Linked DNA regions of Struthio camelus. The protein of the gene in region 4 binds, or shares a complex with, the protein of the main gene of each other region. Links are inferred from orthologs where the notes say so. Each region holds a gene or a part of one and is shown on either strand. Other genes may lie near its edges.

Region 1 (6,892 bases), on a different chromosome or scaffold from region 4:
GGTAAAATTTCAAACAGGGACCATTTCTGGGGCATCTAGTTATCATTTCTGCAACATGCAAGACTTCCCCTAACATGACAAGGCATCCCCTGAGATGCCATACCACTGAACAGCTGCTTTTTTAAAGTTAGCAGCTTTTGCTTCCATTCTAAAAATAACTTACACCAATGTTTTTTCTTAAGTCTCAATCAACAGCAATTCTTGTAGAGTTATTCAAGTGGAGGGCTGTTCAGATGTCCTGCACACTCTTACTTGTCTGTATCAAGAAGCCAAAGCAACAGTTGCCATCTATTTTTCCCCAAACAATTCTCACAGTGAGGAAGCAAACCAGGGCAAAATAGGATAGCACAACTAGCACATATGCCATGCTTTGAGCCAAACTACATGTCTAAACTGATACTGGTCAAAGCCCTGGAAAACAAACATGAGATACTTATCAGAAACAGCCTGCCCATTTACAATTTCAAAAAATTGTCACACAGGTACTTCTATAGCCTTGTTTATTTTGTTCCTAGCAGATCTTTGTAAAACAGTACCTGAGTTTTACATTATGTAAGCAATCGTTAACTTGTATTGTTTTCCAGAAACACTAAAGCTTTAGCCTTATCTAAGCCAAACATTACACCTTTTCTAGAATACTGGTAAAGCTTGAACTTCTGAAGCAGCAGAACAGGGAAGCAAATGATTGAATATAAAAAGCTCAATGGAAGACCATAAAAAGTTACCAAAAACAAGCAATGATATCTCAGTAGCATCTTGAAAGAGATTTGTTTCTAACTGAGAAAGAAGGAAAGCAAGTTAGAATGACTGCATTTTATTCACACATATGTATAAAACTCAGGTAGAATTACACCATTTTCATTACCAAGACAAAGAGCAATAAGTTTGGAAGCGGGGTGGTATTTACAAAGCAAATGATGAGTAAAACTGTTTTATTGAATGAATTACTGTACATCATATAGTTTTTCTATGCTGAGTTCTCAAATCTATTAGAGGAAGTAGATAAACTTTTTCCCCACCCAAGCATGATGCATTGCATTTATTTACATCATTCAGTCACAGACAATGTTGTTCACTTGAATGAAAAAAAATCTGAGATGACAGGAAAATAAAATAGTTAAAAAACAGTGTAACCAAAATAACATAGCTATATCGTGTATCAATGAATGACATTACTATAGAAAGTCTTCATTTGTCAGGATTTCACTGTCACATCCTCATTGCTCAGCATCTTACAAAGAAAAGTCAAAACATTTTTTTTAGGCTGAATATATTTATCTTTCAATCACAGTAAGCTATCTTTTTAGGGAGTCTATATCTTCGAAGCCAAGTAACTTAAAGATTAAGCCACCATGTGAAATTACACAGGCAGTGGCAAGACCATTTAGCTACACTTACATTTCACTGTCATCTACACAAGTTTGCTGTGATACCAATTATGCTCAGACTACACTGGGATTTTTGTTTCTACTAAAGAAAAAAAAAAACTCTCAAACTGCATAAGACTAGTCTTGTTTTCCAGCTGGCCTATGATGCTCCCCTGAGCTCTGACATCCAGCAAGAAAAAGAATGCCTCTGAGCTGATGGGGATAGCTTGGTGGAGAACATTCACAAGCAGCAAACACACAAACTCCTTCTCCACCACAATTTCAGCGTTCTTTAGATCCAAACCCAGCAGCTAAACGCAGACTTAATCTGATTGTAAAAAGCATTCTCAGGTTGTTTCGGTTGTAAGTAATACCATATCAGAACACCATAGGTGTAACAGAGCCTTACAGACAAGTATTTTTGTACTGCAATCGCTTTATCTGTCTCCTTCACAGAGGAACCGTACAGGCCTAGGTGTAAGCGTGCAAAACACAAGTCTCTGCCCACCAGCATTTACGACCCGCGTCGAGCTTAGCGCGTTTCCCCCAGCCCTACTACAAGAACGCGATGTCAAAAACCAAGCTACAAGCAGCAACAAGAGAAACTTTTCCCGGAGTTACTTTCAGTAAAGGCGTTTCAAACCAGCACCAGATTTCCCCTGTCACTAAGGGCATCGTAAAACGATTGGTAACGCGCTAGGGCTACCCCGGTGCGCCTGAGACCTCGGAGAGCGGCCGGAGGAGGACGCGGAGCCGGGCGAGGCGGCCGGCCCGCACCGAGGCGCGCCTAGGGCGGCCGCTTCTGCCCGCACGAGCCGGGCGGCTCACCCGCCGCCCGCGCACCTTCTCCCGGGCGGGCTCGGGTGCGGAGCCGGCGCTGCAGGCCCCCCGCGCTTGTTACGCCCCCGCGGAAGCCTCCCTCTCCCCCTCCTCGGCAGCCACCATTCGCTGCCCGCCCGCCCCGCCGGGCCCCGCGCTCCCGCCCCCGCCCCCAGCAGGAAGCCGCCGCCCGCCCCCTCAGCGCGGACGCCCACACGGGCCCGGGCAGCCCCCGCGCCCTGCGCAGCGGTTGGGCCGCGCCCCAGCCCCGCAGCCAGACCGGACCGGACCGGACCGGACCGGGCCGCCGCCCCCACCCCACCCCACCCCACCCCACCCCACTCCACCCACCTCCCCTCAGGCCGCCGAGCCGCGCGGCGCCTCGCACTCACCCGTCGCCCACCACCACACACTTGATGGCCTGCATCGGGGTTGCGCCGCCGCGGGGGCTGCTCGGGCCGGGGCCGCGCGAGAAGGGAGCCGGCGGCGGTCTGCGCACCGGGTCGCGGCCGCCTCCGCGCTGTGCCTGGCAGCGGGGGACGAGGCAGCGGCCACCACCCAAGGCGGCGAGAGGGGCGGGCTGCAGTGGAACAGGAAACCGCTCCAGTCACATCCGGCTCGGCCCCGCCGCTCCGTCTCCCGGGCCCCAACTCGGCGAGGCCCCGCCCGCCCCCGGAGCCGCTTCGTGCCTCTCCGGCCAGGCGGCGGCGCCGCTTCGGAGCGCTTCGGCAGCGCTCGGGTGTTTCCGCCGCACCGCCCGGGCTTCGGAGTGCTTCGGCAGCGCTCGGGTGTTTCCGCCGCACCGCCCCGGCTTCGGAGTGCTTCGGCAGCACTCGGGTGTTTCCGCCGCGTCGCGCCCTGGGGGCTTGGGCAGGGCTCGGCTGCGCCGTGCGTGTGCTGCCGACCCAGTGCGGGAGCGCGGAGCCGCCTGGCCCGCCGCCGCGGGAGCGCGCAGGCCCCCAGGGTCATCCTTTTGGGTTCTTTTAATCAGAAATGTGGTGTGATGCGCTGGCTCTGCTGAGCGCAGCCCAGCCGTCAGGCGTCGCGGTGCGGCGGCCGGGCCCGGCGGAGGCGCGCAGGCCGCAGCAGGGCGGCCATGTCGCGGCGGCAGCCCGCCGGGGCGCATCGGCCTGGCGCTGTCGCCGGCGCCGTCACGTCGGGGCGAAGCGCTCTCGAACCCAGAGCTGGCTCCCGGCACCCCTTTGGGGTGCTGCGGCTCGGTCCTGACCCAGCCTGGCGCAATCCGAGCGCCCACGTGGCGCCTCGCGCCTCGCGAGGCCTGCGAAGGTGGGATGGCGTTTGCCCCTGCAGACCGTGTGAGGGACATTATGTCTTTCCTTGACACAATGCGCCAAAGTACAGGTTTGCCGTGCGGATGTAACTCCGTGAGGTTCCCGGCGTGCGGCTGTGGGCCGCTCCCGGTGTTGGCCAGCCGGCCGTGGGCGGTGGGACTGCGCGTCACACCGCGAGCCAGCGCAGGGCTGTCAGGACGTTCTCGTCCTCAAGGGAGCCCTGTGCCGCCCTCCTCCTCCTCACGTGCTACAGCCTTCATGAACTCTGCCGGCAAGTTTTAGAGCAGGCCGGCACAGGCAGTCTGCGCGAGAGGGGCGGTGAGGGCTCACGGAGAGACGTGCCCGCCGCCACGGCCCGCTGCGACCTCCCCCGAGCGCTGCCCGGGAGGTCGCTGCCGTTGGGCTTGTGGCACCGCGCACGTCTCCAAGTTACTTCTTCCATGGTCTTCCAGCCACAGCTTGCCACCCCACACAACGTGGCACAACACCGAGAGATGTGACGCGCGGTGATATGTGTATTTCTGCTTAGTTATTCTTAACGGTTTTGAACTCCAAAGGTGTTAAGAAAAATAAAGATTAGCACCACAGTATTTTCTATTATTTTGGCTTGTATTTTATGAACCAGCTTTGCAGGGTCAAAGCAAGAGGCATATAAATTATAAATATATCCACCCAGGAATAATATTAGTGTTAACACTTATTCATTTCTGGGATGCTTTAGATTTCATTGCTTTGGAGCTCTCTTTTCCACAAGAAAACAGATATTTTTATGAATTACTGAAGTGACAGGCGTGCTCTAGCATGTAAGTAAATACTTATGTACTGGAACACATAGGTTAATAGAATAATTTAAAAGTCAAGCAGAGCAGGTCCAATGATCTCCGGAGTTATTTCATTTCTTCCATTTGTTCTCGCGGTGATTCTGCTCGCAGAGAAGCTTCTCATTGGACTGCTCTTCTCTTTGTCTACATTGCCAGCCATTCCTCAAAGAAAGCGTGAGGAAAAGGCCCATACACATGCTGCCTCTGCCAGGGGCTGATGAATCCAGTGAAATCAGTATAAAGGACTATACCACCCTGGAAGTTTTTCCAGTGATTTGATCTCATACTACTTCCTGAACATTTCTAAGCAAATATGATAACAGTACAGTGCAACCTCACTGGTGGACAGGGCATTCCATGATACTTACTCTTTTTGTTCTTTTGCTGAGCAAAGAAAATTCTCATATATTTCACTTCAGTCAGGAAAACATCATAAAGATCACTGTAACCTGAAAAGCTCTTGCAACACTTTTTTTTGGAACACTTGCATGTCCCTATCCCCTCATACAGATGGAAGTTGAAATGGCTGTTGTCATTTAAGCTAAATATCCTTAAAACCAACACTCTGCTGCTAGCGATGACCTGGCAACCGTTCCCTACCCAGCAGCCGGGAGCTGCGGGAGAGAGGTGTGGGCAGTATCACAGTGCTCTTGCTGTTCTTGGCTGCTGCAACGCTTTTGGAGCTTCTGAGATGCTGCATAGAAACAGAGCAGACATGAAGCCTGTCTAATTTATGCCATGGGCCTGGGGAGACACAGAACACAGGAAGATTCAAGGGACACGTAAAACTACTTTCAATTTTCCCACCACCTACATATTCTTCTGCAGGTTCTTACATTATCCAGTGTTATCAGACGGATTATGGGGTTTTTTAATGTGAAAAAGAGATACAACAAAATTTACAATATTAAAACATGCAGTATTCTTCTGTGGTTTATACTTCATAAATAATAATAACTACAACACGTTTTTGCGATGTTCAACTTTGGCTTTGATTTTGCCTTTAGTTAAATGGTAATTTAACTGTATTTTTTGCTGCGGTTATAGAAACCGACTGTCATTTAAAAATACAAAATGACTTTAACAGCATAAAAATACTGTAATGGAGAAAAGGTTATGATGGAAAAAAACATTTACGTTAGCACAAATTGTTTTCACGATCCTGTCATGAGACAAGCAATATCTTTTTACGTATGTTCTTTTCAGTGCTCCTCCATCTGATTCTTTTGGGATCAATTGTTTTGCATTGATAAAAAATAACTTAGAACACAATATGCTTTGATTATTTTAATTGAGTATATAAAGACTAACATTATAAAATATCTACATAAATATTCACTGTTAGTCACTAAAAACAATACTACAAATTTGATATATGATGATGATAACTGTAATAGATGCACCCAGTTTTGTTTCCATGTGTTTGCAAATCTTTTGGAATAGTTCAAAACTTTGCATTTGGAATCCTAGCTGATACCTTTGTTAAGGTAACTATTCTTAGATGCTCTGCAAGACAAACTGGTAGTTGTGTGTACTTTGAGTATATTATGCATTAATTATTTGTTTGTTAATTAATTTTAGTATAGTTCAGCTTCTTCTTTTTTATACTACTTCTTTTTTGCTAACTATTATGTAGTATACTTGGTTTTAAAGAGAAACAAATAACTTAGATGGTGCTACAAATGTGTAACGCTCTGCAGACATGTTTTTTTCCCTGAGACTGCAAGAAGAAATGGTCACAGGGAACACGTAAAACATTAAGTTTGTCAGAAGATAAGGAACTTAGAGAATAGTTTGAAAGGCAGGGCAAAGGAGTGAGCAGTTAAAGCCAAACAATTTCATAGAGAAATAGCTGGTTGATAGATGTGATTGCACTGCTGAGTAGTGTACAGAATACAGTTAAAAATGCAGTGCAGAGAGGAGTATGTAAAAAGAAAACATGAATGGTAGTAACTGTAAGCAACCTTTGCATAATTCTGATAAGGTCATGAATCATAAACTTGAGGCTTAGATCAGTCCTAATTTTGATCTATAATCTATCACCCTACCTTCACTTATCTATTGCAATTTTTGATATTTTTTTTTCTTAGACATTGAGAGGAAATAATTATTTAATATTGTCTCAGATACTGCCTGCATGTGAGTATTGTGTATGTGCTGGCACTGAAGGAGGTTATGTTCCTTTTTGGGTGGGGAGTGGCAGGATAATCACACTGATGCAATACTGGAAAGTTTTACTCACCATGACATAGACTATCAGGATTACAGAGACAATAATAATTCGCAATTTTATAGCATCTCCCAGCCCAAACTATTACTGTATTCTTTCACGTGTTAGCTAATAAAGCCACCCACAAATCACTGAGATGTAGAGATACAAAGTAGTATGCCTGTTGTACATAGGGGGAAACATATCAGTGAAAAAAAAAACAGAACACCTAAGCGTGATTCAGAGATCTGTTCTCTTAATCTCAGATGACACTTCCTGCTGCCAGCAGCGCTGTTCAATTGCTTTCAGCAAACAGTGTGTTACAGTATCTAAGTCGAAAGCAAAAGCCTATCTTTGTTGATAGTGTAAAAACTGTTTTGGGGT
Region 2 (7,998 bases), on a different chromosome or scaffold from region 4:
CGGCCTCGACGGCGATGGGGTTCACCTGGCCTCCTGCTTCCGCCGGCGGCTTCTTGCGTGCGTCGGCGGGGGGCCGGGGCGGCGGGTTGGTGGGTGGCTGCTTGATGGTGTCACCCACGTGCGGCCGCTCCCGGGGCTTCTGCTCGATGGGCCTCCACTCCTCACCACGCACCGCCGCCTGCAAAGCCACCGAGGCTGTGAGGAGGGGAGCACGTGCCCCCACCCAGCCCCTCGCCCACGGCCAGCCCCCCAGAACAGCTCTCAGCATAGAACTGCCCTCCCCCCCCCCCACCAAAAATGACTCCTCAGCGCAAAGCCCGGACAGCCAAGTGGGTGGCACAGAGCTCAGCGGGACCCAGGCATCCTGCCGGGGGGGGGGCTTCTGCCCCAACCGCCACGCTGTGCATCCCCTCCCCACCCCAAGACTCAGCCAGGAAAAGCAAGTGGGGGACAGGCCAGGACGGACAGAGGATGCTGGCCGGGATGGATGGACAGACGGACAGAGGATGCTGGCCAGCCACCACCAGCCCAGCACTCACCAGCAAGTAGATGCCGCTCGCAATGCCCAGGCAGACGGTGCCCAGGATGGTGGAGAGGAGGAAGCCGGCGGGGACGGCCAGCCTGCATGGGGAGAGACGGCGCTCAGCGGGGCACCGCACGGCCGGCTGGCCGGTCGGGGAGGCGGGGGCTGCACCCGCAGCCCGGGGCCCACACAGACCCCTCGGCCCACTTACGCGGCGTGTAGGATGGCCCGGATGTAGTAATTCCTTGTGAGGGGCCCGAACACCTTCACCACAGCCGTCATGTACTTCTGGCCACTGTACGGGAAGATAGAGTGACACAGAGGGGTCAGGCCGGCACTCAGCGCTGAGAGACCCCCTCCCAGGACCTCCCTCTCGCATTGACCCATCCCCATGCTCCCTCATAGCTGCCCTCCTGCACCCCCCATTGATACCAGCACCCCAGGAAACCTGCCTGCAGGATCTGGCCCTGCTCATGTCAGCAAATTGCCCAGGTCAGAAAGCCTGGAAGAAGCTGTTCCCAGCCATCTCCATGCCCCTCTCCTGACCGTGCACCCTCTGATGCTGTGGGGGCCTTTTACCAGGACCCCAAATTCCCAGTGCCAGGGGGGCAGCACCTACCATCTCTCCATGGTGGAGCCCTTTTTCCGCTTGCTCCTGGGGTATTCGAGTAGGCAGACGAAGACGCCTGCTGCGCTGAGGTGGGGGCAGCGTCAAGGAAAGGGATGCTCAGGGTCTGCAGGCCACGATTAGGGGCATCACCATCACTGGAAAAAGCGGGGTGGGGGGGGAGGGCTGGAGCAGGGTGCGTGACACAGGGACAAAGCCATGCAGGGGCAGCAGAGAGTGGACCAGCACCCCCCACCCCCACCCTCATCATCCCCAGGTAATGGGGCCAGCACCCCCAGCCTCCCAGGGAAGTTTTGCAGAAACGTGAAGGTCATGATGCACTTTCAGGACCTGCAGGAAAAGAGCCATTTGGGACAAGAAAATGGTGATTTTGGAAAAGAAACTTGTAAAGAAGAGGAACTTGGGAAAAGAAAGTGAAAGTAAAGGCTACTTGCTATGCTCCAGCAACTCATCCCTGTCTGGCTCCCCTGCAAACAGCCCGGCCGGTCCTCAGCATCACCTCCGGAAGGATACATGGCGTACGCCGCGAAATACCAGCCCTTGAACTGCCCTGCCACGGCCACGATCCCTCCGGTCAACATAACTGCGGGGACACAGCAGGGTCAGCCAGGCAGGCTACGTCCTGTGGCCCAGCAGGGCCCTGCCCCGGGGACCTCTGCCATGCCGGACCCCCTCTGGTTTGAGCGAGGGGAATTGCAGGACTCTGGGGAGAGGTTTTTTTTTTTCCCCGGCGACTGCACACCTCCGCCCATGAGCTTTGCTCCACTCCCAGCTGCCTTGTACAGACAGGACGCCCGGAAAGAGGAGGAAGAGGAGGCTCTAGTCCTGCTAATCCCCAGGCTGGATGGGACTTTCCCAGGCCGTCCTGGGCAGCATCACACCTCCTGCTTGCACCGCCCTGGAAAACCCCGCCAGCCTCATGGGACCCAGCACCCCTTGGTCACGCCACGGCCGGCGCCAAGGGAGCAGCACTGGCGCCGCGGGGCCAGCGCGGAGGCAGGCAGGCCCCGCACGTCCCCGCTTTCGCATACTGACAGCTTCCCCTCGGCCACGAGGCCGTGCCCTACCCCGCTCGCCCGGCTGCCCGACGCAGCCGAAGGACGAGGGCTGGCGGACGACAGATGCACCCCGAGACCCAGACGGAGCAGGGTGCCCGTTTCCTGGGCTGGGTGACGCCGGCAGCTCGGCCCCCGCGGCAAGGAGGAAGCCGCCCGCCTGGGCCAGGGAGCACGGAGCGAAGGCGGCGACGCTCCCCGTGCCAAGGCCGCCCCATCCCGCCGCCCTCCTGCCCGTCGGGCTCCCAGGCGGTGACTCGTCCCCCAAGCAGAGGGCGAAGGCGGCTCGGAGGGACGCGGCTTGGCGGCCCCTGCGCTTCCTCAGCGCCTTCCACCCCCAAGGCCCACCCAGGGCGACTGACTTCTCCACGGGGTTCAGTTACGACAACTGAGCGCAACGGGCTGGAGGGGAAAGAGAGAGGCTCCAGCCCGGCGACCCCACGGGCGGGAGGGCTGGGGGCTTCCTCAAGCCGTCAGCAGCCGCTGGAGGCTCCAGCGGAGCAAGGGCCCAAGCGCTCACGCCCCCGGCGAGGGCCGGGGCCGGCAGGGAGCCCCGGAGCCCCCTCCCCACGCCGGGCAACCCGGGCCTGGCCCCGGCCCCCCCCCGCCCCGCACACTCACTGAGCCCGGCCGCCAGCGCCTGCTCGTTAGCCCACATGGCCCACTCGATCTGCCCCATGGCCCGGTTCGGCCCGGTTCGGCCCGGCCTGGCCCCGCTCGGCTCGGCTCGGCCGCGGCGGAAGCGGCGCGCTACAATGTAGCCGAGCGGCTGCCCCGCCCCGCCCCCTCCGCGACGCCCCGCCCCCGGCCCCGCCCCCCCACGGGGCAGTGGAGGAACGCGCCGGGGGGGGGGGGACGGGGCAGCCCCACGGCCCCCTCGGCTCTCCCGCGACCGCACCAGTACACCCCGAAACACGGCTGCAGATGGGAAAAACCTCTATTTGTTCACAAAAGAGTAAAAACCAGGCCCGGGGGGGGGGGGGGCACATCCTGCCCCGGGGGAGGGGGCTTTGCAGCAGGTCACAGGGCACCAAGCCCAAGGGGCAGCGCGCGGCCAAGCTCCGTCCTTGCCCCGTCTCCCTGGAGGGGCTATGGGCACGGCCGGACCCCCCCAAACTGCCGTCCGGCGCGGCCATCCGGCGCGGCGTCACCACGAACGCGGCCCCACGGCGGGGGGCTCAGGCGCTGCCTCGGGGCAGCCCGTCGGCCCCCAGGAGGTGCTGGCTGGGGTCGTCCAGGAGCTGGGGTCCGGGGCCGGGCTGGGGGCAAGGAGAGGTGTTAGTGGGGAGCCGGGGCTGTTCCCGCCGGGGATCCCCGCTCCAGGCCGTGGGACAGCCAGCCCCGGGGACGGCACCTGGGAATCCTGTCCCCAAAAAGGCCACCCCGTTCGGCAGCCCAGCCTGGGCCGGCACTGCGGGACCACCCCTGGGGATGGGGACGGGGCCCCCTGGCCTACCCGGCCCCCCGCGTACCTTGGTGTGCAGGATGTACCGAAGGGCCCCCGGCACCGGCTCCTGGACCACGGCCGTGAGCAGCTCCTCCGCCGGCGAGGCCGAGCCCACCGGCAGCCCTTGCAGGAACCTGCCGGCACGGCCGAGCGCTCAGCCCCACGCCGCAGCACCCGTCCCCCAGCACGGGGGCCCCGGGGTGACCCACGGCGGGCAGGGCTCGCAGCCCCCAGCCCCTGGGACCCCAGCTCTCCCCCAGCCTCACCGGGAGCCCCGACAGCACTTACTGGTCCCCGTTGGGCGCCGGAGGGAAGCTGCGTTTCACCACCTCCACGAACTCCGCCACGGTGTCGGCCAGCGTGAAGATCACAGCGTTGGGGCCGGCGTCAAAAGTGTAGGCCACCTGCAAGGGGCGGGAGGGTGGGCACCAGCGCCACGGGGCGGGGGGGAGCCCTGGCGCCGGCCCGTGCCGGCCACCTCCTACCTTGGTGCGGCCGTGGTGGGCGTTGTAGCGGTGGGCCAGGGCGATGAGGCGGCGCGAGACGTCGTCGAGGTAGAAGATGGGGGGGAAGGTGTCGAGGCAGGTGGCGTGGAACTGGTTGCTGTCCCGCATGGTGAGCTGGCCGAAGGCCTCGAAGTCCCGCTCGCGGATGTGCTGTGCCATGCGGGCGATGCGCTCCGGCACCAGGGCCTCCGCGCGGTGCTGCGGCGACACGCGGGCCGGGGTCAGCCGTGGCGCCAGCCGCCGCCCCCCGTCCCCGGTTTCGGGGCTGTTCTCAGCCCATCGCCCCCTCGGCTGCACTAGGGCCACGGCAGCGGGTTGCACCCTGCTCCCTCCCAGGGTTGGATCCAAGGGCACTGCCGAGGCCGAGGCGCCACGCTGAGCCCCACGGCCCCCCCTCTGCCCAGGGCAGTGCCCTCCATCCACGCCAGCCCCCCAGCAAGAATTAAAAATACCACCCAAGGGAGACGTGACCCCAACCCACCACAGGACCGGGATGCAGGGAGCTGCCCCGGGGGGCAGGACGGGCCCTGGCATCCCGGCCCCCTACCTTGAGCAAGGGGCTGGTGTCCACGCTGGTCTGCATCCCCGCGGTGCTGCCCACCTGCTTCTTCTCCGCGCTGACCTGGCGCATGGGGGGCAGGCGGTGGGACACGCGGCACCCTGAGCCCCCAGCCCCAATCCCCACCACGGGGATCCCAGACCCCGGCACCGCGCTGGCGGCTGCCCCCAGCCTCGCGCAGGGTCTGCAGGGGGAGCAGGCACCCCGGGGGCCGGGGCTGGGGTGTTCTCAGCACCCTCTCTCCAAACCACGACGAGCCCCGCGAAGGTGGGCACGGGGACAGCCCGCCTCCCCAGCCCCTCACCACCAGCACGAGGATCCTGAGCTCCGGCCAGTGCGTCTCGGGTGCCACTTGCTGCGCCACGCTGTCCTTCCCGTCCGGCCGCTCGCCCTTGTGCCACTGCACGAAGCCCCCGAACATGCTGCGGCAGGCGCTGCCCGAGCCCTGGCGTGCCACCTCCGAGAGCTCGCCCTCCACGCCGTACAGCTGAGCCAGGGCGTACACTGCGGGCACGGCCGCGCGTCAGCCCCAGCGCCCCGGGGCCGCCTGCCGGCCCGGCCCGGCCCGACCCGACCCGCACCCCGGCGCCGGCGCGCGCTCACCCAGGCAGGCGTAGCCGGCTGCCGACGACGCCAGGCCGGCTGCCGTGGGGAAGTCGTTCGCCGTGGCGATGTGGATCTTGTAGGCCAGGCTGAGCGGGGCCGTGTCCTCGGCGGTGTCACCGCCACGGCGCTTCCGGGCCAGGCGCCGCACTGAGATGGCACAGAAGTCGTCGTGGGGGGGGGGTTTAGGCCTCGGGAACGGGGAGGGACGGGGACGGCGAGGCAGGTTTGTACGGTGCCGCGCCTGGGCACCGTCGCTCTCCCCTCCCAGCCTGCTCACGGGGCAGGGTCTGCCCCCTTTCCCTGGGGAAACCGAGGCACGGGAGGGCACTCACCTTCCCGCAGGCAGGACTGCAGCCGGGGGTGCCCCACGTCAGCCTCCTCCCCGTTCAGCCACAGCCGGTCCTCCTTGAAGTCCCGGCTGATGGCAGCGGTGGTGGTGGTCTTCAGCTGGCCGGGGGGCAAAGGACGCTGAGCAGGCGCAGGGAGGGGCTGGGGCAGCCCGCAGCCCCCCAAGGGCGCCAGCGGCCCGTCCTGCAAACCCAGAGTCGCCCGGCCGCAGGGCGGCGTCGCGCACCCAAGGATGAGGCGGGGAAGGCAGAAAGGCCAGGAGAGGCAGGCAAAACGGGGGCTGAACGCCAAAATCCCACACCTTCCCGCAGCTCCGGGCAGCGCCAAAGGCTGTCAGGCTGGGCCACGGCGCGGCGAGTCCGACCGCCCAGCCAGCCGCCCCCGGCCCCGGCAGCAAACGAGCCCCCGTTCCCTGCGAGCGCCACGTCCCTGGTGCCGTGTGAGCTCCTGCACCCGGCTTCTGCCCGCCAAGAAGGACCCCTGCTCTGAGCCAGGCCCCCCACCTCGCCGTGCCAACCTGGTCCTGGTGCAGCGTCACGCTCAGCGAGGAGTTGATGGGCAGGATCAGGTCGCTGTCCCGCTTGCCCCCTGCAAGAGACGCGCGGGTGGGGTGCGCGTGGGGGCCTGGTGCCAGCCCGTGCTGCTCGTGCCCTCCCGCTCCGGGCCGAACCGGCTGCCACGGGGCTGGCACGGCACGGCACGGCACGGCCTCTCGCCCTCCTCGGTGAAGGCTGGCGCAAGCCGGCGCCTTTGGGGCTCGCTGGAGCCCGCTGCAGGGGAGCGATGGGAGCCCACCGGCAAGGGCTTTGCTCCTGCCGTCCTCGAGCCCATCCAGGCAGCCGCCCCATGGACGTGCCCACCTCCTCAGGGGTCCCAGCTCGGGGGGGGGGGGTTCCCCAGGGATTTAGGGGAGGGGGAAACCCTGGAGAGTCACAGCCCTGGGGACAGCCCAGGGGACCGACGGGTCCCGGGGGCCCTTCTGGGATGACACAACCCGCTGCGGTTTCTGCATCGCCCCACAGCGAGGGGCAGCCCCCGTGCTCGCCCCGGTGCTGAGCCCCGCCGTGCTCGGGGCCCTGCAGGCAGCTCTGCCCCGGCCCCCGGGGCAAGGAGGGGTCCGCGCCGGGGGGCGGGACGCTCGGGTACTCACAGTACTTGATGACAGCTATGTTGACAGGGGCCGTGCAGGTGACCATGGTGAGAGCCTTGTCCTCGGACATGGTGGCGACCCGTCCCCGGCCACGCACTCAGCTCGGGGACACGACCCGAGCCCCGGCAGCACCAACCCAGGCTGGGTGCAAAGCCCCGGGCAAGCGCTCGGCTTGGCCCCCAAGCAAGACCCGGCCCCCGAGCAGCCCCAGCACCCCCGCACCGACGGGGCAGGATCGGGCCGGGCCAGCCCCGCTCCCGGCCTCGGACCACCCACGTGCCGGCGCCGCGCAACACTGTAGCGAGCTGCCGTCACCCCATTGGCTGGCGCCACCGCGGCCGGCCCCGGGCGCCCAATAGCCTCGATCGGACCACGGGCGCTGGCCACGCCCCGCAGTCCCCCGCCCGGAACGTCAGGGCCGCCCCGGTTTCCCCCGCCGGAGGGCTTTGGGCCGCGCGCAAGGCGGAGGGGGAGCGAGGCCGCGGGGCGCGCGCGGCGCCATGTCCGTGCCCGGAGCGCGGCACTGCGCATGCGCCGCCCCTGCCCGCCGTGACACCGTGGGGGGTGGGGGGGCGTGAGCCAATCCCAGTGCTCCCAGTGCTCCCAGTGCCCAGGGTTCCCCTATGGCCTCCAGTTCCCCCAGCCCTCCCAGGGCTCAGTACCCCCTGTGATCCCAATACCCGGTGCCCCCAGTGCTCCCAGTATCCACTGCCCCCAGTATCCCCCAATGCCTCCATTGCTCCCACTACCTACTGCCCCCAGTGCTCCCACTGTTCCCAATGCTCCCAGTACCCACTGCGCCCAGTGTTCCCAGTGCCCCCACTTCCCCCAGTGCCCCCATTGCCCCCAGTTCCCCCAGTGCTCCCAGTGCCCCCACCTCTCCCCTTGCCCCCAGTGCCCCCATTGCCCCCAGTGCCTCCATTGCCCCTAGTGCCCTCACTTTCCCCAGTGCCCCCAGTGTTCCCAGTGCCCCCACTTTTCCCCTTGCCCCCATTGCCCTCAGTGCCCTCAGTGCCCCCAGTGCCCCTAGTGCCCCCACTTTCCCCAGTGCTCCCAGTGTTCCCAGTGCCCCCACTTTTCCCCTTGCCCCCATTGTCCCCATTGTCCCCAGTGCCCCCAGTGTTCCCAGTGCCCCCACTTTCCCCAGTGCTCCCAGTGTTCCCAGTGCCCCCACTT
Region 3 (7,646 bases), on a different chromosome or scaffold from region 4:
AAATAAACTGAGGAATAATCACGGTCTTACCAACAAAGAGAGACCAAGATCTGATGCCAGGAGACCTCTTCAGATGGAGAAGGAAACTTGTGCGGTTTTCAACCAACATGTACATCTTTGGAAGAAGCTCCCAACAGCCCAGTCAGACTCATGAAACCTTACAGGACAAAAAAAAAAAAAAAAAGTTGTTGCTGACTACAGCTCTCTCTCTTCCTAGCAGTTGTCATGACTTCTTATCAAGTTTTAATCTAGATTATAAAAACTGTCCAGAGTAGGCATGTGGTCTTTTTCCTCACAGAAAGAAAAATGCATACTTAAATACAAGCAAACAAGACAGTCCAGTCATGTGGAGATCTGCAAAACACGACAACAGGAATCTACACACGCCAAGAGACTTCCCATTGGGGGGGGATAAGAGGCAATTCCTTCCCACCATAAGCAGCACCCTCTGGAAAGGTTTCAGAAGCAAATGTGGAAAACAAGAGCCTGGAATGATGTTAGGGCTGCATGAATTAGCAACTCTTCAAAAACAGAAAGTAGCAAGAGTAATGGAAGTTTTTTGACACCGCCATTTATTCTGCTAACAGCAATGGTAGCCGTAACAGAGCAGCCTGGCAGCCGAAGCAGGACAACGAAGCCTTCTTCAATACAGATACGGAGTTTCTCAGAGCTGCGGCCGCAGCTCAGCACAGTGAGGTACCAGTGTCAGATGGCGCCAGATACGGCATTCCCATGTTTCAAGCCAGCTCCAGAATAAAACCAAGATTTTCCAGCAATAAGTATACTTGACTCGCCCCAACAAGACCATGTCCTTCAACCAAGAGAGAAAGTAACTGATTAAAAAAAAATCTGATTAGAGATTAAAAAAGGGTACTAACTGAAAACAGTAAGAGCAGGACAAACTTATGCAGCATTTCTAGCACGTATTTACAGCATAAAACTATTTGAATTTTGGCACGATTGTGGACTCCAGTGGAAAAAAAAAAAAACCCCTTCATCCTGATATCAGCACAAGCATAAAAAGTGATTTGTACTAAAGGCATAGCAATAGGCATGAGGACCCAGCTGATCTTTCCAAAATTAATTATCACCAGAGAAAAAGCAGGCTGCTTACTGCTTTTTTCTCTTTCAGTAAACTGATAGAGATGCTTGACATTATTATTGAAGACCCTGATCAGTAGAAGCGAGATGGGAAAGGAAAGCACATGTTAATATGGCATCACAATGTTAGCAGGGTATACGCTGGCCTTAAAAACAAAACAGGAGAAATCCATGATTGTGGATAACCCCTTCCCTTAGCCAAAAAAAAAAAAAACCACAAAAGAAAACAAAAACCCTACCAAGCCACAGACGTAATTTAATCATTAAGTAGCTGGCTCCTTTGCTGCAGGATCAGCGAGCAGGAGCTGGGCACTAAGCAGGTATTGCCTGCCCGCGTCGCGGGTTTCCAGATGAATGCCAGCGTTCAACAGTTCTTTAAACAGACAGGAAAAACGCTTAGAACCGAGCAGGCCCAAGCACGTCCCAGTCTGACGGAACAAAAGCACGCGACCTTCAGTCCTTTACTCGTCTCGCTGTTCTTAGATACTACATGACGCTCCCGCAACTCTGCACGGCCTGGCTAGCTTGGATACAAAGCTCCAGGGGAAGTTTGGTTTTTTTCTTTAACAGAACAGATTTAGCCCAAACCTGCCATTTAAATCAAACACACACACGACTTTGATTTCAGTAGCTCTTAGCAGTGCATCCGAGAGAACGTAAAACGGAAAGAGACGCGCTCCGTCCCCTCCGGGGGCGAAGGCTTGATTCCCGAGTGAGTAGCGGGAGGCGCGCTCCGCGCAGGCAGAGCCTCCTGCCGCCCAGGAAGCGTCAAGGAGGGGGCAGACGCGTGAAGGTCACTGCAGAAACCTGGCCTTTCTTCAGAAGGGACACGCTCGACTTGTGTGCGTGTTTGCCCCCGAGCGTGACCGCGAGCCTCTCCCCTCCCTGCTGTTCATTCGGGGAGCGCCATCAGGCAGAGGCCCCGTTAGCCCCGTCGCCCACGCGCCAGGGCGTGGGTGCGCGCGTGCCACGGACAGGCGCTTGCTGGCGAGGGAAGTGCCGCAGGGAATAAAAAAGCACAGCAGCAGCTTCTTGAAGTTACACATAATAAGCCGTAAGGCTGCCTTTAGAACCACGTGAGCGGGAAGGTTTCACTAGGGCACGCTTGAGATCACAGGGGAAGGTGCGTTTTCGCTTTACCAACAGCATTAGCAGCCCGATTTGTTGGCTTCGACATAAAAGGGACCTAGAGCCGAAAGTCAACGTTCATCCGCTCCCTCCAAGCTACTGGACGAGGGCGAGCTACCAAAAGCTATCTAAAAAAGCACGCTGAAAGCTTCCTGACACAGAGGACGGAGGCAGGAGCAGCCGTGGGGCCGCAGCTCCGCCGCCGCCCGGCCCCGCGCCCGGGCCGCCGCGGGCAGGGGAACCCACGCAAGCCACGGAGAACCCAGCACGCAGACTGCGCTGCCGCTTCCTGTCAGCGCGGCGCGGCGAGCACACGGGCTCCGCGGGGATCCCCCGCGGCAAGCTCCCCGCCGACCCAGCCCCAGCCCCAGCCGGACGCGCCAACGGCCACCGCCGCCCTGGCAGCGCCGCCCCGTTAAGGACACGGCCGCCGGGACTGGCGGCGCCCCCAGCCCAGCCCAGCCCCCCTGCCCCGCGGCGGCACTACCTGCCCGGCCCCGCGGCGGCACACGCGCGGGGAAGCGCTTTGAATGGGACGCCCGGGCACCGCCACTTCCGGGGCCCCGCCGCCCCGAACCATAGAGCAGCGCCAAACCGGCCGCTAGGACACACCATCGAGACGCGCTGCTTAAGAAGAATGCCGGACGCCAGCGGCCATTTTCAGTGAGGGCAAACACGTGCGCAACTAGACCTTCCCTCCTCGCGCACGGCAACGGCTCTGGCTTAGTGTGTAAGCGGGGAGGGAAGAGCCTCACCCAAGCTGGCCGCCATACTGCCCGCAGTCAAGATGGCGGCCGAGCTTGAGGCTCCTGCCCAAATAGGAGCTTTGAGGTCTCTTTAGGTTGTTTGGCTTCAGCCGTGTATAAAGGGGCAGGAAAACTCGCGTGATTGCAGAGGAGGGAGGCTGAGTGCTGTGGGGCTAGGCTGGATGTGTGGAAGGGAGAGTTGCTAGGCCTGGTGGGCTTGTGCCCTGGGCACCTGCTGTCAGGGGTGGATGGATGGATGGATGGATGTTTGAGTAACTGCACACTTGTAAGAGAGAGTTGACATTTTTTGAAGTTTCTTATTCCTCTAAGTATATAACTCTGGATACCATGGAGGGTTTTTGTTGTTTTTGCCTGTACTAATTTATAACAGTGTTGGCAATTTCTGTTTTCTATAATATTTGGTAGTTCTAAAGCTTTAGCTTTTAGTGCTCATAGCTATGGTAGTTATAATAATTGAATGCAATCCATTTTTGGATGGTTGTTATAACAGTGTATGCAATCTTGAAAAAAAAATGCTGCAGTTCAAAAACCAGCCGAGGGGAATGCAAAGAAATAACCACGGCAATAAATCTTATAGGTTTAAAATTAATGTTATCAGAGGCATAACGTTGGGGGATCATTTGTCACTTGAAGGCATAGGCTTGGAAAATCTGTTGTTTGGGGAGGAGAATTTCCAAGTCAGGTGAACTATTGAGTGTCCTTCCTGCTGTGGATAATAGGTTACACTTGAAAAATTCTACGTGTTCCTCCTAGTTCTGTTAAACACTAATAACATGAAAAAACCATTTCTGTTCAATCCATTAGGGTGTCTGCTTGTGTAATATCTGAGACAAAATGGGTAAAGTGCAGATACGTGTCCTTTAGCTTAACTTATTTTAATCCCCATTATGTAAGCCAATACGTCACTTTATCTGTGAAAGAGATTCGGTCCTCTCTGTTGTTCAGGAGCGCGGTCCTTGAATGATGTGCTCAATTTCTGGCTCTTTTCATGAAAAGAATCCAGATGCTCCAGAGTGCCTGCTCGAGGCCGTTAAATGGTATAAGTTTGTTCAGCTGTTCCTGAACATTGCTGTTGGTCAGCAGTAACTGGGTTTTTGAAGAGGCAGTGTTTTTCTAACAGGCCAGAGTGAATTATTTAACGATGGGAAGGAGCTCAGCCCCCGCATTAAGAAATTAACTGACTGGAAGTTGCAGAAAATACAAAGTGACCTGCAATGCTTGTGTTGCTTGAAGAGCTATGAGAAACTGCAAGGCTGAATTGGCATGCTTGTGAGTCAGGAGGTACCAGCTGCTGATGGATTTTGCTGATGAAAAATAAGAAGTAATAAGTATCTTTGTTCTGAACCCAAACAAGCAGCTGACTTTCTGAGTCTTCTGAGAAGAAAAGAGTTCTTCTATGAGCTGTGGTCAGTCAGGTTTTACAAACAACCAGTTTCTCTGGAAACCAAATGCTTGAACTACTTTGAGTGGTACAAGACAGAAAAGGTTTCTTGTGTCTAGAGCAGCGTTCGTGAAACACAAGAACCTCGTCCGTCCCCTCCACTCAGTATACACCATGTAGCATACAAGTGAGGATTTGTTTTATTCTTGCATTACTATCTGTGAAAAATATTAGCAACCACGTGCTGCTTCAGTTTGGCAAAGGCCACAGCATGATACCTGGTATGACTTAATTTAATTATGAAGTTAGAAATTATTTTCTGCAACAATCCCTCATTTTACTACACGACTTTGAAATAGGTAAGTCATTTTATCCCTACCAAGGCAAAAAAGGAAGAAGAAACACATTTTAAAAGCCTGAACGTGGACTTGAAGAACAACACAAATTCCAAAACACGTGGCTGCAGAAACAAAAGCTATTTGCCAAAAGAAACACATAGAAAAAATGTAATTGATTATTTGTAGATTACTTGTTCTGTATTATAAAAATAGATCTTTATTGTAATGCATTGTATAGTAAATATACTTGTAACTGTTCAGTCATTGATCCGAGAACAACAACATGCACACATAACAGAACTGTCCTTTATTTTACAGTAGTTTGGTACTACTTATATTTCTACTCCTGTCTTCTAATTTCAGGCCATTTTTCTAAATACTCTCTTCTAACTCCTTTCCCATGACTGAAGATCTTAAAACTTAGGAATTCAGCAGTACAATAAGTGTGTAATCTTAAGATGCCAGCATAAAATTTCTGGTGTGTTTGACTTTAACCAATTGGTTGGAAGCAGTCACTAAAACAATGTGTGTAGTGTGTGTATTGTGACGGGACTGAGTTGGCTTTAGGATGCCAGTTATAAATGAGACCATCCCGTTGAGCTGGGCATGGTGCCCCACTGATCTCTATGGGAACATTGCGTATAAAGCCTGTAGAGCACTCATTTCATGGAGTACATGTTTTTTAGCTGCTGCTCTTGGCAAATTCTGGCAGCTGTTGAGTGGCGTCGGCCATCACTGACTTGAGGCATTTACAGCTTATAATCGTTGCAGGACTGAGGCATTACCTTTAAAGCTTTTGAAAATGGATTACAGCATCTACTGTTTTTTCATAGAGGAATGCTTAGTTTTCCATTTCACTCTTGGTATGAACGCTTTAGGCACAGGCGTAAATGTTAAATATAGCAAAAGGGATCATAAAAGCAAAATAATGCTCTTAAGTGCTACAAACTGTGATTTTCTTCAGAAGTGTCTTTGCAATCTAGCAAAGGTACGTACTATTACCTCCCCAGGGGCAGATTAAAACTGGATGGTGATCTCTTTTTCTAGATTATTAGGCACTGTGATGATGGTAACTGATAACAGATGCTCTGTGGGAAAATGTCATAAATAGCTATTGGAAAGCAGAAATTACTCTTGGCAATAAAATATAAGGGACATCTAATTATCTAATGATTACACAGGTATAACCTTACCGCTTACATTGAAAACATTCGTTCCTTGTGTGCCCTGAACTGAACCGAATTAATTTCGAATTACAAGTTTTTGCTGTTCTTTTTCTATTGCTGGAAATCTTAAATTGAAATTAATTCAGTTCAGGTATTCCTAAACCAGAGGAGTGTGTCAGTACACTTGAGCTGTTTTCAGATGTTTCTATACAGGTTTCAGGTTTTTATGTAATCATGGGTTTTGCACTAGGACTATAAAGAAATAAGATGGGAAATTAATATTTTAATATTTTTAAATGATCATCTTTTAAATGATATCTGCAGGGATATAAAACTATCTAAAACTGCCATATCTTTTGAAGAATCAGTGTATCACGTCTGGATAATAAATGTCATAAGTAAGCATAATCCTCAAGAGTGAACCGGAAGGATGTTAGCCATGCTTTTTAAGTACAAATCTCAACGCTTCTAAATTAGGACTTGCGTCGGTGCTATCACTATAATCGATAATGCATCAACACCATTCTGTCCATGTGGGATAAGTTGCAAGATGGACACAGCTTTTTAGTATGAAAACATTCATCCAAAGGAACAGAAAACATTGAATGTTAGCTAGTGCTGCATTCTAGTAATTCTGTAGGAAACCCAAAGTCTTAAGTTGCATCGGGATTGTTTTAGAGTGACTGCAGTGCCTTAAAAGAACTTGCATTAATCTACCAAGTGCAAATGCAAAAGCATTCTGAGTAAAGAAAGTAGAAGCACAAGAATTTGGGATTACTATCACTATTACAATTTTTACCTCGAGCTAAAATGAATGCTAGTTTTTCCAGGGTCTGCGTATAGGACTATCTTTTTTTTTTTTTTTCTTAATTGGTAATAAATAGTGTTTGTTTTTGCTTTCGTTATGATGATACAGGTAGAAATTTCCGTGTCCTTGACCTCAAGGATAAGGTAACTTCCACCTATAGTCTGGGCATGTAAAAATAATGGTGTTTCTTTGTTTTACATTCTGCCCTGGCCTTATCTTTAAGGACGCTAATGTAATTACATCGTTAAACTTTTAACAGCCGTCTCAACAGACGTTTGCTTCTCTGGATTGTGATGCCTCTTACAGACAGGTGCAGTGAAACAAGCGTTTGGGGAGTTATGTTCTTGGGTTACAAACTTTGGCAGTCATGACTGTCTGTAGTTTTGTACAGCATTATCATTTATGCCTAACAAATATTTTTGTGGATTAAAGTATTTAGACCTAAGCTGTAACAGGAAGAGATTTACCTAGTGCATGTGATAAAGGGAGGTTGCACTTTAAGCTGAAAATAGCATGTTTTCAGAAGTTTGGTAGTTTTGTTCCTAAAAAAGCCATTTTATAGTTGAAAAACTTCTCTGCGCAGATGTCGGTGTATGCTTATACGTGTCTCTTTAGGGTGGGGGGTTAAAAGAATGAGCAAAACGTGAACTGAACCTTTGTGTTTAAATATCATAACTTGCTACTTAGAAAGACAGGCATTTTCAGATAAATGCATAGACATCTGAACTGATACTCTGGGGGCCTGAGAGGTTTTGGAAGGGTGATGTGCATGTGCACGTGCAATAATTTTGTTACAGGTGAGACACCTTGATGCCTGTGTGGCGACAGCCTCAGCGATATTTGTGTTTCGTTACAGAAATGGGAAATCATAGCATATTGGCTAAATAAGATGCTGCTGCCGATTTATGTGTTGAGTAACTTCTGAACCGTTATTCCGTAAAAAATAACGGAGAGAGA
Region 4 (7,249 bases):
TCTACGCCAAAATAATATATGTTTTGTACTTACGCCAAGGAGGACTCTGGTGTAGAAGAATTTTGGTGGGAGATCATATGCAAGATAGAACCACCAAAAGAGGAAGACATTTAACCCCAGCCACACAAGCTGAAAGAGAAGCAAACAGGAAACTTTAGTTTGTTGTTAAAGACTGTATGTCTCAATTTACACAGTTCAGAAAATGACCAATTAGTGCGTTGCATTCCTATTCACACAGAAAGGTGCCCTTCAAGGTGTGAAGAGATCAGGAGGGACAATATATATTTTACTGGTGGAAATAGGCTTTGAGGTGTATACATGGGAGTACAGGAGTGGCAAGAAAACACAGCATGAAAACTGGTAGCTGAAACCTTTGTATAGCTCAAATGATATGATTATATAAACTAAGAATCTGGCTAAGTCTGTGAGTTTAGCTGAGTCTCTAAAAATCATTTAAAGGCTAGGTCCTCTTCTTAACGGGAATTCCTCAGACACACTAACCCATATAAGAGGAAGACTTTGGAGCTGCCAAAGCCAAGCTTTGGAGCTGTGCCAAAGGACAAAGAAGGTTGAGGTCTAAATATACATGGCCAAAATTACACCCAAGGCCCGAGTTTAATGTTTTCAATTGAGTAGGAGCCTCTGAAGGTCTGAAATCAGCCAGCAGGAAATATTCAACACAGGCACTTTGGTGGAGTTTAGGCTAACTGGGCTTCTTAGTAGCTGTGCTGCAATATTCTCTTGTACTTACACAGCCTACAGGGCAGATTTCTTTAGGGAAAGAATTTATGAGCACTTCTCGAAGCTCTCTAATGCAGTTACAAGCACATCCAGCCCAAGAGACCATAATGAATTGGGCCATGCGCCCTTCTGGAGATAGTTGGCTGACTTCACACCCCCCGGTGAAACCAATCTATATCACTGCACCTCTGTTCTAAGGGGATTTACTAGGTGGTGCGTGAAGATGGAAGAGACAAAGAATGAGACCTGTAGACCTGTAATCGCTGGTTTTAAGTTCAGGCTGACAGAAACTGTGACACTACAGTCTTTTGCCCTTCTTAGCCCAAAGTTTAAAGTGCTAGTCTCGCTTAGTTTCTTGGCCCAGCTGACAGTGCAAAAAGCTTGGGATTATTTTAGATCTGGAAAATGTCTCACCTGTAAGGTGTAAAGGCAGGGAAGTGAAGGGATTTCCAACAGCATAAGTCAGTATATGAGAAATCCACAAACCCTCAAAATTAAGCTCAGCTCAGGATAAAATGCTTAGGATGCAAATTTAAAGTAAGAGTGTGCCACTCCCATTTACAGTAGCCTGACAGCATGTCCAGAAGACTGAGATGCTTGGCATGATCCATGATGAAGCCTCACACTTCTTGGTGCTAACTCATAAGGAATGTGGAACCCTTGAGAAACACTGTGACACCCTGTGACAACTTTGGTTGAGTTGCAGAGTTAGCAGCTACCACCTCTTTGGTTAGGGCCAGTGGAGGCAGCATATGTTAGGGCTAAGGCTGCCATGTCAGGCCAAAAAAAAAAAAATCAAGACTATTTCTATTTTTTTGAGGAAAATAATAAAAATTGTGGCTGTCCTGTTTTTATCAAGCACTGGGCCACCCTGTAGATAATGAATGTACTATAAACTTGTAATGGACAATGCGGAACACTCTCTTAAGGCCTCTGATGAACTGTCCTCTTAGCTGGTTTCTTTATCAGTGACTTCTTTATTTTCCTTCCCTCTGTATTAGCTAACCTCGTATAGCTCTGAGATTCTGTACACAATTCCTTTTTTGAACAAAATAATAAGCTCTTACTTAATTCAGTTAATATTGCAGTCCTGATGGGAAAAATGTGGCAGAATTCACCTCCTGGCAGTTTCAACTTCCTCAAGTCACTGGGTGTCAGCAAATACAGCCCTTTCAAAGCACTGAACTGTCAGTGTTGTGTGGCTAAACTAGAGCTATGCTTCCACAATGTAATATGTAAGCATCATTTGTGGCAGGAGAAATAATACATTTTCGAATAAAGATGTTCACATTCAGTCTTCACAAATGTAGTTCTATGTCTTCTTTTTATTCCTCTCAGTATCTACCTAATTAACCACACTTGACAACAATCCCTTAATTGGTTTTACATTTTGCTATTACACAATATTGAATACCTATAACTTTCATATCATTAATTTCTTCCCAAGGCACTGTAATGTGAAGAAAAAAAGAATACTGAAATACTAACTTCTTTTCTCCAAGGAGGAGATCTGCCTTACGGTTTAGCTCTTTTAAATGTAAGTGGGATTTCAATTACTTTTAAATCCTGCCAGGAACTAATCAAACTCAGTTTTGTAGCAGCTCCATGCAAGCTCTATACAAGCACAGTTCAAATATAGGTTGTCTTAATGAGAGATTCATGAATCTCTGCTCTAAATCCTGGAATTTGACTACAAAAACAAATTTTCTGCTACCAAGAAATGTTCACTGTGCTCTCAGTAACATGCATTTTTGTTTATAAAAGTGTAAGAAAGGCTTGTTTTAGTTTTTTTTTTTCTCTTTCAAAATGCAAATAGTTAACAGTGAGATGTAATGCTATTTTTTTTCCTTAAGTCATTATTGCTTCAAAAAACCTAGACACTTAAGCATTTATAACAAAGCAAATGAGAGTTAACTTATGATAATTTCTCAGCTGACAATGCAGCCTACAGCAATCAGGATTCCAGCTAGAGCTCCTTAAAAATTATACTTGTCAAGTATAATGCAACTACGTCTGCTGCCCTAGTTTCAGAATAATCAGCTGCATCACTCACAGGCGCAATGAGATCTACTTATTAAAATTTTCCGTAGAACTTTTTACTAGACACAAAGCATAATAAAAATTGTACTTACAACAACAAAGATGGACAGTCCTTCATTCTCCACCCAGTTACCCATGACTGCCTGAGAAGAGTGTACACAATGGTCCCGTCCTTTCTGGGACAGTGTCTATGTCTTCTCTCACAAGGAAGTGAGAGTAGAAGCTTGCAGCAACCTGTTTCCTTTCTCATTTATTTAGGAAATCAGTTAACCATGGAATCAGATCCATGGTTCAATTTCAAACATTTTTCTACCACCTCTGCATGGAACTTTTAATAACTCAGACATGCATAAACTATTCAAACAAACCATTTCTTTCTCATGTGGTACAAAGTTTGGGTTTTGCTGGGGTTTTCAGCTCAAAAATGTATTGCCACTTTATACAACTTTCAACGCATGGAAGAATCATCTCCTCTCCAGCTTTGTCTTTTTTTTTAATCACTTCAGGTCATATTTGCCATTCCTGATGATCCTCTTTGATGACTAATCACTAGAATTATTTATCTTGCAGTAATTCACTGTCCACAGAAGCCCCCAAATGTAATCTAACACTTTTGTTGTCTGGTACATATACACAAGTTTTGCCACTTTCTCTCTGCTTGGCTCTAGATAGTCTATTTTTCATATTTTGTATTTTTCATAGGGTCCCAGCCCCGGATATTGTTTCACTATGTGAGAATAATTTTTTTAAAGCAAGCATTTTGCTTTCGTAATTATAGAGAAATATATGGAAAATTACCCCAGTATATTTTAGAGCTTAGAAGCCAAAGGACATTGTCCCAAGTGTATACATTTTTCAAAAATAGTATCATGATTTCCTGAGGGAGTTTAATGATTTCTGAAGGTCTCGTCTCTGTGGTATGACAATTCCCAAACTGACAGTAAAGAGCACAAAATGGTAGACTGGAGGAAACTTTGGGGATTAAGTGGGAACATCCTTTGGCAAGGTCAGGGCCCCAGAGAGGAGAAATGCTTCTAAATAGGCTTCCTCTTCACTTTTTCTCCTATGTTTCACCCATTGCACCACAGAAATATAGATCTCTGCTGAAGATGAGTAATACAAGTCTGCCTCCTTTCAAAGATTAAGGTGTAGTATCAATGTATTTTTCAAGATCTTTTTATACTTTAAAGAGAAAAGTAAACTTCTATTTTTTCTTGAACCAAGGGCTATGCAGAAAAACTGTTTTACCAGTGAGCTCTCTTTGCCAGAGCTATAACAGATTATTCAGAGTGCTCCTGTCCTGCAGAATTTCACTGCTTTAGAAAGTCTCACAGAGCACAGCGTGGCCATGCGCAGTATTAACAGCTTTACAGCATACAGATGCTTTCCAGGCCCTGGTCCCACATTTACTGGAGTAAATAGGAAGCTTCTTGTCCAACTCGAATAGCATAGGCTTGATGTCCAGCGTAACTGTTGATCTGACCTGCAGCTGGGACCAAGATGTTGAATAGCTAACAAGAGCTGTAGAGGCAGACATAAAAACTGCGTGATTCACGTTAGACAGCAAAAATACTCAGCACAACTTGCCTTGCTATGGATTCACTTAGAAACTAGCTTTCTTAGAATCCGTTTCTGGTAGGGATAAGACATTTGGTTATGATGTAGAAATGAGAATTAGGAGAGGCAACATAAATACCTGTGTTCTTGCTAACTGATCTCTTCCTGCCTTGACTCCTAACTTATTCCCTCTGTTAAATTTCTCCTGGAATATGACTGCTGTAAAGTAACATAACTGGGACTTAAACAAAGATCCACGGCAAAAATAAAATCATAGATGTCTCCATGTTTATAAAACAAATGAATAAAGGTATCTGAGTGAGACAGATGACTTCTAAATCATTATTCAATAAAGCCAGCAAGGCTTTTGACACTGTCTCCCATCACATCCTCCTAGGTAAGCTCAGGAAGTGTGGGTTGGATGACTGGACAGCGAGGTGGATTGAGAACTGGCTGGATGGCCGAGCTCAGAGGGTTGTGGTGAATGGTGCAGAGTCTAGTTGGAGGCCTGTGGCTAGTGGTGTCCCCCAGGGGTCAGTCCTGGGTCCAGTCTTGTTCAATGTATTCATCAATGACCTGGAGGAAGGGACAGAGTGCACTCTCCTCAGCAAGTTTGCTGCTGATACTAACCTGGGGGGAGTGGTTAACACACCAGAAGACTGTGCTGCCATTCAGAGGGACCTGGACAGGCTGGAGAGGTGGGCGGAGAGGAACCTCCTGAAGTTCAACAAAGGCAAGTGCAGGGTGCTGCCCCCGGGGAGGAATAACCCCATGCACCAGTACAGGCTGGGGGCTGACCTGCTGGAAAGTAGCTCTGCAGAGAAGGACCTGGGAGTGCTGGTGGACAACAAGTTAAGCATGAGCCAGCAGTGTGCCCTTGTGGCCAGGAGGGCCAGTGGTATCCTGGGGTGTGTTAGGCAGAGTGTTGCCAACAGGTGGAGGGAGGTGATCCTGCCCCTCTACTCAGCCCTGGGGAGGCCACCACATCTGGAGTACTGTGTCCAGTTCTGGGCTCCCCAGTCCAAGAGAGACATGGCACTACTGGAGAGAGTCCAGCGGAGGGCTACAAAGATGATGAGGGGACTGGAGCCTCTCTCCTCTGAAGAAAGGCTGCGAGAGCTGGGCCTGTTCAGCCTGGAGGAGAGAAGATTGAGAGGCGATCTCATCAACGTGTACAAGTATCTGAAGGGGGAGTGTCAAGACGATGAGGCCAGCCTCTTCTCCGTGGGGCCCAGCAACAGGACAAGAGGCAACGGGCAGAAACTGAACCACAGGCAGTTCCATCTGAACCTGAGGAAAAACTTCTTCACTGTGAGGGTGACAGAGCGCTGGCACAGGTTGCCCGGAGAGGTAGTGGAGTCTCCTTCGCTGGAGATATCCAAAACCCGCCTGGACGCGATCCTGTGCAATACGCTCTAGATGACCCTGCTTGAGCAGAGCGGTTGGACTAGATGATCTCCGGAGGTCCCTTCCAACCTCAGCCATTCTGTGATTCTGTGTGATTCTGTGATTCTATTCCTTATTGAGAAGTATAGAAGTAACAGTTCAAAGTTAGCCTAGGTGAAAAGAGCAGTCCTCCATCTCTTTACATAGTCAATGGTGTTCCCAGTAACCTCTTTTGACAAGCCCTGTGGTCGTCCAAGCTCTTGTGTGATGTTAGTTGCTTTGATGACCTTCCAAAATCGATGTCAGCAGAGGGTCTGATTCCTCATATTTAAGTCCAGTGTTTATGGAGGGAGCCTTGGGAGCTAAACATCTTGAGCAGTCAGGGAATAAAAGGGGTTGGTCCTGACCTGTGGATGTCCATTCTCACTGTAAGATTAGTGATTTCTCCCTGCTCAGAAACAGCAGTGCTCCCTTTTCATCACTGCTTTAAGCTGAATTGCTTATGGCTTCTCTAGGGTGTGCAATCATGTGCAGCCAGGACGCTCCAAGCATTAGCAGCCCTGACTTGCCTGGCAGCTCCTCAGACTCTAGATCCACTAAAACATGGATTCACTGGCTCAGGAGGTTTCTGGCAAGTCATAAACCCAAGAGGTGCTGATCTTAGCTCAGTCCCAGCTCTGAAATCACCTCATCCATGATATTCCCAATAAGAATGGAAAAAGTATCGTGTGTAATTATTTTTTAATGCTCTATAAATACCCTTTGCCCTTACACAGTGTAAATTAGCTTTGGAAAACTATCAGCTGGTGATAAAGGACCAGGTAAAAAAAATCTAGGACAACGCATAGCAAACCATGCCTGGCCGCTATAAGTAACAGGTGTGAGCAGAACTGGTATCAAAACCACCCACACATCACACTTGATTTAATTGCCATGCTCGCACGTTCTAAACAAGTAAAAAGTCACTGCTGTGGAGATAGACTTGCATGTTTTGTACTTTGTTCTATTTTAAAAAATACGTCATGTAGGAGAAAAGGCAACATTGCTAGCTTTGATTAATAATTATGTAGGAGTGTGTAAAATGAATATGAAAAAATTAAACATTTTCTATCTTTGTCTCTAAAATTTATTTCAAGCTAGCTGATTGTTCACAGCACTTTTCACCCTTTTTTTGTGTGGAAAAGTTCAATGGAGAGTGATTCTTTTTCAGGATGGCAATTTTGCAAAAATATTCAGGTCTCAGGGTTCTTTATTTCCTTGCAGTAATTTTACCCCCTTGGCTATGAATTAATTTAGTTCCTCTTGTAATTCATGTAACAGTATCCCATGCTAAATCTTGCACAAATTAAAATGCGAGGCAGTTGCAATAGGCCCAGGTGTTTCACACCTGCCTGCTAAAGGGGACAAAGTAAGATTTTTGCATGTATAAACCCCAAAGGAGGATGACAAGCAGAACAGAGTGAAGGAGACCCGACTGCTGCACTTCTGACGGTGTTGCTGAACCATCTTTCTGCTGCCCCTACCT

Evidence for each region.
Region 1: CYBB (region 4) and RAC1 share a complex: the UniProt entries of both Homo sapiens proteins name them as parts of the phagocyte NADPH oxidase complex. The link is inferred for Struthio camelus from reciprocal best matches to the Homo sapiens genes CYBB and RAC1.
Region 2: the proteins of CYBB (region 4) and CYBA are in contact, whole or in part, in a cryo-EM structure (PDB 8X2L), measured with the Homo sapiens proteins. The link is inferred for Struthio camelus from reciprocal best matches to the Homo sapiens genes CYBB and CYBA. Residues at the interface, in NP_000388.2 of Homo sapiens: Thr116, Ile117, Leu120, Phe121, Val123, Glu124, Asn128, Asn133, Lys161, Asn162, Pro163, Gly166, Leu167, Ala170, Val180, Thr183, Leu184, Ile187, Leu188, Thr191, Ser192, Thr194, Lys195, Thr196, Ile197, Arg199, Ser200, Tyr201, Glu203, Val204; in NP_000092.2 of Homo sapiens: Gln3, Ile4, Glu5, Trp6, Met8, Trp9, Glu12, Gln13, Ala16, Ile20, Thr23, Val27, Gly31, Phe33, Thr34, Gln35, Arg56, Arg59, Met65, Gly102, Phe103, Leu104, Leu105, Ala106, Ile108, Leu109, Ala112, Cys113, Ile116.
Region 3: the proteins of CYBB (region 4) and CYBC1 are in contact, whole or in part, in a cryo-EM structure (PDB 8KEI), measured with the Homo sapiens proteins. The link is inferred for Struthio camelus from reciprocal best matches to the Homo sapiens genes CYBB and CYBC1. Residues at the interface, in NP_000388.2 of Homo sapiens: Trp28, Asn74, Leu75, Leu76, Ser77, Phe78, Leu79, Arg80, Gly81, Ser82, Ser83, Ala84, Cys85, Cys86, Trp206, His210, Phe212, Pro266, Met268, Trp270, Lys271, Ile273, Tyr280, Tyr324, Phe326, Lys328, Leu335, Glu336, Trp337, His338; in NP_001028218.1 of Homo sapiens: Arg22, Leu26, Ala37, Ser41, Gly42, Asp43, Trp47, Phe50, Tyr51, Phe57, Gln61, Asn62, Glu64, Lys77, His97, Asp98, Gln99, Val100, Val101, Val102, Leu103, Arg108, Ser111, Glu115, Val117, Arg118, Tyr119, Phe120, Arg129, Ala131.

What each region holds. Positions count from the first base shown.
Region 1 is NC_090956.1:9,200,344-9,207,235, reverse strand, and holds the start of RAC1 (ras-related C3 botulinum toxin substrate 1), read right to left. Parts: upstream 3,002-6,892; 5' UTR 2,614-3,001; coding exon 2,579-2,613; intron 1-2,578. UniProt on the Homo sapiens protein: Plasma membrane-associated small GTPase which cycles between active GTP-bound and inactive GDP-bound states.
Region 2 is NC_090951.1:2,456,102-2,464,099, reverse strand, and holds the start of CYBA (cytochrome b-245 light chain), read right to left. Parts: upstream 3,008-7,998; 5' UTR 2,886-3,007; coding exon 2,828-2,885; intron 2,557-2,827; exon of another isoform or gene 1,904-2,556; coding exon of another isoform or gene 1,894-1,903; intron 1,735-1,893; coding exon 1,665-1,734; intron 1,218-1,664; coding exon 1,143-1,217; intron 819-1,142; coding exon 735-818; intron 622-734; coding exon 540-621; intron 179-539; coding exon 1-178. Other genes in the region: MVD (diphosphomevalonate decarboxylase), read right to left, coding at 3,385-3,465, 3,679-3,787, 3,942-4,057, 4,139-4,357, 4,707-4,781, 5,023-5,222, 5,322-5,471, 5,657-5,771 and 2 more. UniProt on the Homo sapiens protein: Subunit of NADPH oxidase complexes that is required for the NADPH oxidase activity that generates, in various cell types, superoxide from molecular oxygen utilizing NADPH as an electron donor.
Region 3 is NC_090960.1:11,019,568-11,027,213, reverse strand, and holds the start of CYBC1 (cytochrome b-245 chaperone 1), read right to left. Parts: upstream 3,014-7,646; 5' UTR 2,842-3,013; exon of another isoform or gene 2,717-2,841; intron 158-2,716; 5' UTR 116-157; coding exon 31-115; intron 1-30. UniProt on the Homo sapiens protein: Functions as a chaperone necessary for a stable expression of the CYBA and CYBB subunits of the cytochrome b-245 heterodimer. Controls the phagocyte respiratory burst and is essential for innate immunity.
Region 4 is NC_090942.1:129,259,124-129,266,372, forward strand, and holds the start of CYBB (cytochrome b-245 heavy chain), read right to left. Parts: upstream 3,016-7,249; 5' UTR 2,919-3,015; coding exon 2,874-2,918; intron 130-2,873; coding exon 34-129; intron 1-33. UniProt on the Homo sapiens protein: Catalytic subunit of the phagocyte NADPH oxidase complex that mediates the transfer of electrons from cytosolic NADPH to O2 to produce the superoxide anion (O2(-)).